Linked DNA regions of Tribolium castaneum. The protein of the gene in region 1 purifies or fractionates together with the protein of each later gene. This does not show direct contact. Links are inferred from orthologs where the notes say so. Each region holds a gene or a part of one and is shown in the gene's direction. Other genes may lie near its edges.

Region 1 (3,825 bases):
AATTGCAAAAATAATAAAATTTTTGTCAAATTTTTAGATTTATTGGCTTATATTTTAAGAAATTATAGCCAAATAGTAGATTTTCCGCGAAACAAACGCTCGGAAAATTTAATTTTTTGTAATTTTGGTCTAAAATTATGTTTAAATACTCAGAACTTTAAAAAATAACGTCATTTTTGACCTAATTTTCTGAATTATTGGGTTATTTTGTGAGAAATTTTACGAAATGATTGAGTTTTTGCTGAACAAAAGATTGGAAAAGGTACATTTTTGGTTATTTTTGACCAAATTTGGTGATTTTTTCGTTCTAGTTTAACAAAAACATGCAAAAAATACTTAATTTTTGGCTTTAAAACTTGCTAAAACACCCAGAACTTGCAAAAATAATGACATTTTTGCCCCAATTTTCCGATTTATTTGCTTACTTTGTAAGAAATTTTGCGAAAAATGGACTTTCTACGAATCAAATATTGAAATTTATAGTTATTTTCGACCATATTTGTGGATTTTTTGTTCTAGTTTAACAAAAACATGTAAAAAACTTAATTTTTTTGGCTTAAAAACGTGCTAAAATATTCAAAAATTGCAAAAATAATATAATTTTTGTCAAATTTTTTGATTTATTGGCTTATATTTTAAGAAATTATAGCCAAATGGTGGATTTTCCGCGAAACAAACGCTCGGAAAATTAAATTTTTTGTAATTTTGGTCTAAAATTATGTTTAAATACTCAGAACTTTCAAAAATAACGTCATTTTTGACCAAATTTTGTGAATTATTGGGTTATTTTGTGAGAAATTTTACGAAATGATTGAGTTTTTGCTGAACAAAAGATTGGAAAAGGTACATTTTTGGTTATTTTTGACCAAATTTGGTGATTTTTTCGTTCTAGTTTAACAAAAACATGCAAAAAATACTTAATTTTTGGCTTTAAAACTTGCTAAAACACCCAGAACTTGCAAAAATAATGACATTTTTGCCCCAATTTTCCGATTTATTTGCTTACTTTGTAAGAAATTTTGCAAAAAATGGACTTTCTACGAATCAAATATTGAAATTTATAGTTATTTTCGACCAAATTTGTGGATTTTTTGTTCTAGTTTAACAAAAACATGTAAAAAACTTAATTTTTTTGGCTTAAAAACGTGCTTAAATATTCAAAAATTGCAAAAATAATATAATTTTTGTCAAATTTTTTGATTTATTGGCTTATATTTTAAGAAATTATAGCCAAATAGTGGATTTTCCGCGAAACAAACGCTCGGAAAATTTAATTTTTTGTAATTTTGGTCTAAAATTATGTTTAAATACTCAGAACTTTAAAAAATAACGTCATTTTTGACCTAATTTTCTGAATTATTGGGTTATTTTGTGAGAAATTTTACGAAATGATTGAGTTTTTGCTGAACAAAAGATTGGAAAAGGTACATTTTTGGTTATTTTTGACCAAATTTGGTGATTTTTTCGTTCTAGTTTAACAAAAACATGCAAAAAATACTTAATTTTTGGCTTTAAAACTTGCTAAAACACCCAGAACTTGCAAAAATAATGACATTTTTGCCCCAATTTTCCGATTTATTTGCTTACTTTGTAAGAAATTTTGCGAAAAATGGACTTTCTACGAATCAAATATTGAAATTTATAGTTATTTTCGACCATATTTGTGGATTTTTTGTTCTAGTTTAACAAAAACATGTAAAAAACTTAATTTTTTTGGCTTAAAAACGTGCTAAAATATTCAAAAATTGCAAAAATAATATAATTTTTGTCAAATTTTTTGATTTATTGGCTTATATTTTAAGAAATTATAGCCAAATGGTGGATTTTCCGCGAAACAAACGCTCGGAAAATTAAATTTTTTGTAATTTTGGTCTAAAATTATGTTTAAATACTCAGAACTTTCAAAAATAACGTCATTTTTGACCAAATTTTGTGAATTATTGGGTTATTTTGTGAGAAATTTTACGAAATGATTGAGTTTTTGCTGAACAAAAGATTGGAAAAGGTACATTTTTGGTTATTTTTGACCAAATTTGGTGATTTTTTCGTTCTAGTTTAACAAAAACATGCAAAAAATACTTAATTTTTGGCTTTAAAACTTGCTAAAACACCCAGAACTTGCAAAAATAATGACATTTTTGCCCCAATTTTCCGATTTATTTGCTTACTTTGTAAGAAATTTTGCAAAAAATGGACTTTCTACGAATCAAATATTGAAATTTATAGTTATTTTCGACCAAATTTGTGGATTTTTTGTTCTAGTTTAACAAAAACATGTAAAAAACTTAATTTTTTTGGCTTAAAAACGTGCTTAAATATTCAAAAATTGCAAAAATAATATAATTTTTGTCAAATTTTTTGATTTATTGGCTTATATTTTAAGAAATTATAGCCAAATAGTGGATTTTCCGCGAAACAAACGCTCGGAAAATTTAATTTTTTGTAATTTTGGTCTAAAATTATGTTTAAATACTCAGAACTTTCAAAAATAACGTCATTTTTGACCTAATTTTGTGAATTATTGGCTTACATTTTAAAAAATTTTGCAAAATAATTGAATTTCTTTCCACCACACGCTTGAAAAAGGTGTTTTTTAATTAATTTTATGATTCAGAAAATAAATTCTTTCGTTCTTCATGGAAAAAAATGTGGTTAAAAGCTTTAAAAGGGGAAAAATTAAAAAAAAATCCTCTAGATTTGGCGATTTTTCCTTTATTTTTACGGAAATTTCGCCAACAATTGCCTTTAAAAACATCTTTCAAGGTATTGGCGTGTCGGAAGAACTAATGTGTGGCGCTTGTCACCACATGGTGCTCGAAAAGGACCCATCCAGGTGTACCAACATAACAGTTTTCAATTGCAAGCACGCCTTCCACGAACAATGCCTCCCTGAAAACACCACTCGATGCGGCATCTGCTATCCATCCGATAAATAAAACAACGGTAAGCCAACAAATAACTAAATATATTTCCAAAAATCGTAATCTTCATCATCGTCCACATTGAACGGTCCTTCGAAATATTCACTCTGTGGCAAAAGGGCCGGCGTAAAAGCCAGGAAATACTTGGCTGTGAATTGGAAAACGTCCTCTGGTTTTAATTGGAGGATTGTTTGGACGTAATCTGAGATCATTTCACGCACTTCTGGCTGGTCGTCTAAATAATTAGCGATTTGTTTTTTACTCATCATCTGAAACATTTTTGTGTTTGTGTCTTTTTTTTTCACCCTAACTTTACTTACTTTCGCGTCCAAATAAAGTGAAAGTAACTGGATATCATCCTGTAGCGGTTTTTTCTCCAAAGGTATCTTGTTAAAGGCGCTAAGATCCGTCAGAGGATTCAACTGAAGGATATAATTGCAAAAATACCACTCTTGTTTGAGTATTTTCCCAGTTAAAGTCATTAAAGTGATGCTTTTGTGTTTAATGCCACATTCTTCAATTATCGTGCGATAAATTTTGCACACGTCCACTTTTTTGTTGTTGATCATGCCACTAGATGGACCTTTACATTCCTGGATTTTTTTCACTTATTAATTATTATCGTATTTTTTTTGCAAAGTGTTACGTACGTAAATATTACGGCATAAATTACCATTGATGTACAAGGTCGAGACTTCGAAAAAACCGACAAATTTTGTTAGGGCCAAATAGCGCATCAAGACAAAATTTGCGCCTTCGCAAATTAAATTGTGCGCTTTGTGTGGACTGTAGAATATGTCTTTTCGTTTGTCGTGACGTAAGTAATAGAAATTTTCTTGCGAGCTGACGTATAAAGCTTGTTGGTCGAGTCCGTCGTCCATTTGGACGTACCTGAAAAATTATG
Region 2 (4,491 bases), about 4.7 Mb from region 1:
GGGTAGATTTGGGGTCATTTGCGAAAAATAAGGGCCCAACGTGGGTTTGTTTTGGATAAACAGCTGACTGTCAATGTGACATTTGGACGCACCAAGTTTAAATTCTTGCGACGAAATGCCGCAAAAAAAAGCAAGTTGTGTTGAAATAATTGTATTGTGAAAGTTATCTGATATTCTACAATCAAACTTTGAGAAAGAAGTCGGTTTAAAACCTTAATTCTAATTAATTGTGGTCAAGGTGTATTGTTGGTTGTATAACATCCTATTCAGATTACAAGAACCGCACATTTTTAAATTCTGACCTTTAGAAAAAAGTGTCGATATTATTTAATTACCAGAGATGCATTTAACATTTAAGGGGGAGAATTTCTCGATTTCCAAGATAAGTGTCCACAAGTCATTTGACGTCACATACTGAAGAAATTTATTACTCATAAGGTGGAAATTTAATTCTTAAATGTGGAAAACGCTTTAGTACGTTTTCTACCCAAAAATAAAAAATCCCAATGCATGTTCTGACTTGAGACCCATTAGCATATAACCAGTTTTATCAAACATTTAAGAAAAAGTTACAAACATTTAAGAAAAAGTTACTAATAAACAATCAGGTTATCAAAAAATAAATAAATACTGTTACAGTATAGGAAAAATTCTTAATGATTGCTTTGGAGCTTTGGATAAAAGTGAAGCAACAATTGTGCCACTGTTGAATTTTTCTAAAGCCTTCGGCGCCTCGGATCACTCACTTTTATGTGCAAAATTATCTTTTTACGGTTTCGACAAAATTTCATTTTTTCTTCATTCATATATGACAAATAGAAAACAAATTGTTACAATAGGCACCGCACAATCAAGAAGGTAAGAATGAAAGAAAGAAAGAAATAAAGAAAGAAAGAAGAAACAAGTAAGAAGAAAGAGGAAAGAAGAAAAAAGAAAGAACGAAAGAAAGAATTTAGGTTTTTTACTATTATGTATAATGTAATTTAAATAAAATCAGATTAATTAGATTAATTAAATTAATGACGCTTTTATAAACCAGTTATATACTTAGGGCCGGTTTATATGTAGAAAGCTTTGTTAAAATTTAATTCGTTGTTAAAAGTTAACAAAACGAATGGACCAACCAAATTTGTTCAATTTGGTCAGGTGATCAGTTATCCTTAATCACGCATTTAATTGCAGATTAACTTAATGACGCTTCTATTAACCGATACTTAACATACACGGTGGAGCAAAAGTAATTATCATGGTTTATTTGTGCCAGTTTGGCTGATTATGTCTTTGATTTATAAATAAGCCCCCGTAGAGGCTTCCAAAAATTGCCGTAGCGCACGGTATTTCACGTGCACATGGCGGGGTATTGGTTAAAGTTTTCAACTAGCAATAATCGCACCTCGGATTTACCTCATCGGTTACGATACTGCCACTGCGCAAAGCTGACAAACTTACCCCCTACCAATTCATTTAAAGCCACGAGGACGGCAAACGTTCATGAATCATAAACCTTAGCGCCATCTCGCACCACTCCTTCGAACATTGCAAAATAAAACAACCCCAAAGGCCCACAATCACCCAAATCCCCAATTTTGTCATCGCCCCAAAATTGTAAATCACCCCATTGTCACCACATGTCACAGTGACAGCTAACCTCAAACAACTGTCACAGTGACAGCTAACCTCGAAAATGTCATCTCATTTACAAGGGGGCCGCGTTGACATATCCCTCATCCAAACGGCGGCCCGTAACAACCTCATCACCCTCCTGGAGAAATGCCCAGGCCCCAAAGCCATCGTTTGGGACAACTCGCTTGCGGGCCCCGTGGGACTCATCGCCCAATACGCAGTCTTGAAGGAACATTCGGTCACTAAAATGTTCCCCCTGCGCCCCACACCACTCCCAGAAACAGACGTAGCCCACGTTATCTTCATAACGCGCCCCAAACTGCACCTAATGGACTTTGTGGGCTACAACGTCCACGCCGACTGCAAGACCAAAACCGGCTCCAAAAAGCAATACCACGTGTTTTTCGTCCCGAAAAAGAGCCTCCTGTGTCTGGAGCGCCTCAAGCATAACGGAGTGTACGGCAGTGTGAGTTTAGTTGAAGAGTTCCGCTGTGAGTTATTCCCGTTTGACTCCGATGTTGTCTCGATGGAAATTTCTGAAGTTTTCCGGTAAGTCCACACGTGGGTGAATATGGGGGCTCACTGTCTTTCCGCAGCGAGTACACGCTTGAAAACGACCCGACTTATTTGTACCAAACGGCACAGGCGATCATTTTTTTGCAAAAATTGTACGGCCCCATTCCGCGCGTGTGGGGCAAAGGCCCGGCCGCGCGCCAGGTGTGGGAGCTGGTGACGCGGCTCCAGCGCGAGAAGAACGCCCCCTTGAAGACGAATCAGACGTCCACCATCGACCAGATCCTGCTGATTGACCGCGGGGTGGACCTGATAACCCCCTTGGCCACGCAACTGACCTACGAGGGGCTCATTGACGAGATTTTCGGCATAAATAACTCGACTGCCCAGTTCCCCATTGACAATTTCTTGAGCAGCGAAGAGCGCACCTCTGAGTCGCTCTCCGAAGACAAGAAACAAATCATCTTGAATTCAGCCGACAAGTTATTTGCCGACATCCGCGATAAGAATTTTAACGCCGTGGGGGCGTTTTTGTCGAAGCAGGCGAAGGCGATCAGTGTGCAGTTGGATAATAGTCAGGAGCGGTCCGTGCAAGAGATGAAGTTATATGTGCAGAAGCTGCCGCAGATTTTGGCCAAGAAGAAGGCTTTGGCGCATCACACGGCCATTGCGGAGTGCATTAAAGAAGTGACTGATGGTTACGAATTTTTGGACACGCTACAAACGGAACAGGAGTTTTTGAATTGCATTGAAGTGGATAAAGCTAGTCCGTATATCGAGGATTTGATCGCACATGCCAAGCCTCTGGTCAAGGTTTTGAGACTGATTTGTTTGCAGTGTATTACCAGCTCGGGGCTCAAGCCCAAAGTGCTGGAGCATTACAAGAGGGAGCTGGTTCAGGTGGGTTTTACAAGTAGGTCATGGTTTATTGAGGGTTGCCAACTTAATTTCAAAATCACAAACCACTTCGATTAATTTTTTTTTAATTTTAACCGGTGTTATACAAAAATTTCAGCCAATATCATCAAAACTACGGATTTTGTAACAAAAATGAGCTCAGATTTGAAATGCTAAGACAATTTTACATCAGATATGTATATTTTTGACCTAATTTTTTGATTATTGTGCACTTCATGATTTTTTAAATGCAGATAAGTAGATAAAAATTTGCCCAAGTTGTTTATTTGAATTATTTGCATAATTTTGACTCGATTGCCGCAAAATTTTGCTCGAAAATAGATAACTAACTAACAAGGTCAATTTATAATTTTTTTTTTCATTTTTGCTAGAATAAAAAAAATTAAATCGACCATATTTTGATATCTCCAAAATTACGAATCTTATAACAAAAGTGAGGACAGATTTGGAATCCTCAAACAATTCTACGTGAAATAGCCATTCTTTTGACTTAAACTTTTGATTATTCTGGTCTTGATGATTTTTTATTAGCAGATAAGCAAATAATCCAGTCATAGCTGGCCATCCGTCAAACTGACACTTCTTATGTCACTCTTTTACAAAGTGTTGCCAACCTAATTTGGATTCCACAAGCCTCTTTACACAAATTAATAAAATTAAATATCTTGTAACAAAAGTGAGGACAGATTTGGAATCCTCAGATAATTTCCCGTCAAAGTGCCATACTTTTAACTTAAACTTTTGATTTTTGTGGTCTCGATGATTTTTTATTACCAGATAAGTAGATAAAAATTTGCCCAAGTTGTTTATGTAAATTATTTGCATACTTTTGACTCGATTGCCTCAAAATTTTGCTCAAAATTAGATAACTAACAAGGTCAATTTATATTTGATTTTTTTTCATTTTTGCTAGAATAAAAAAAAATTAAATCCACCATATTTTGATAATATCTCCTAAATTATGAATTTTATAACAAAAGTGAGGACAGATTTGGAATCCTTTGACAATTCTACGTGAAATAGCCATACTTTTTGATTATTCTGGTCTTGATGATTTTTTATTGGCAGATAATCAGATAATCCAATCATAGCTGGCGATACGTCAAACTGACACTTCTTATGTCACTCTTTAACAAAGTGTTGCCAACCTAATTTGGATTCCACAAGCCTCTACACAAATTAAAGAAAAAAAAATGTGAAACTTTCCAGGTGTATGGCTTACAAGCGCTCCTCGCCATCACAAACCTGGAAAAAGTGGGCCTTTTAAAGGTCCAATCAGGAACCCGACAATACACAGTCCTACGCAAAGCCCTAAGACTCACAATGGAAGACACATCTGAAATAAACCCAACTGACATAAGCTACGTACACAGCGTTTACGCCCCCTTAAGCGTACGCCTAGCCGAACAAGTAACGAAAAACGGGGGCTGGAAACAA

The links.
Region 2: the proteins of vacuolar protein sorting-associated protein 41 homolog (region 1) and car purify together in Homo sapiens (affinity purification with mass spectrometry; 5 studies listed by BioGRID and IntAct, counting the BioPlex papers as one, with this or other methods). This does not show direct contact. The link is inferred for Tribolium castaneum from reciprocal best matches to the Homo sapiens genes VPS41 and VPS33A.

Annotation. Positions count from the first base shown.
Region 1 is NC_087401.1:16,023,685-16,027,509, forward strand, and holds part of vacuolar protein sorting-associated protein 41 homolog, read left to right. Parts: intron 1-2,763; coding exon 2,764-2,936; 3' UTR 2,937-2,943; intron 2,944-2,944; exon of another isoform or gene 2,945-2,959; coding exon of another isoform or gene 2,960-3,190; intron 3,191-3,241; coding exon of another isoform or gene 3,242-3,514; intron 3,515-3,571; coding exon of another isoform or gene 3,572-3,812; intron 3,813-3,825. Other genes in the region: ciliogenesis-associated TTC17-interacting protein, read right to left, coding at 2,960-3,190, 3,242-3,514, 3,572-3,812. UniProt on the Homo sapiens protein: Plays a role in vesicle-mediated protein trafficking to lysosomal compartments including the endocytic membrane transport and autophagic pathways. Acts as a component of the HOPS endosomal tethering complex.
Region 2 is NC_087401.1:11,290,830-11,295,320, reverse strand, and holds the start of car (vacuolar protein sorting-associated protein 33A), read left to right. Parts: upstream 1-1,479; 5' UTR 1,480-1,684; coding exon 1,685-2,172; intron 2,173-2,219; coding exon 2,220-3,036; intron 3,037-4,263; coding exon 4,264-4,491. Other genes in the region: zinc finger protein Gfi-1b, read right to left, coding at 1-18.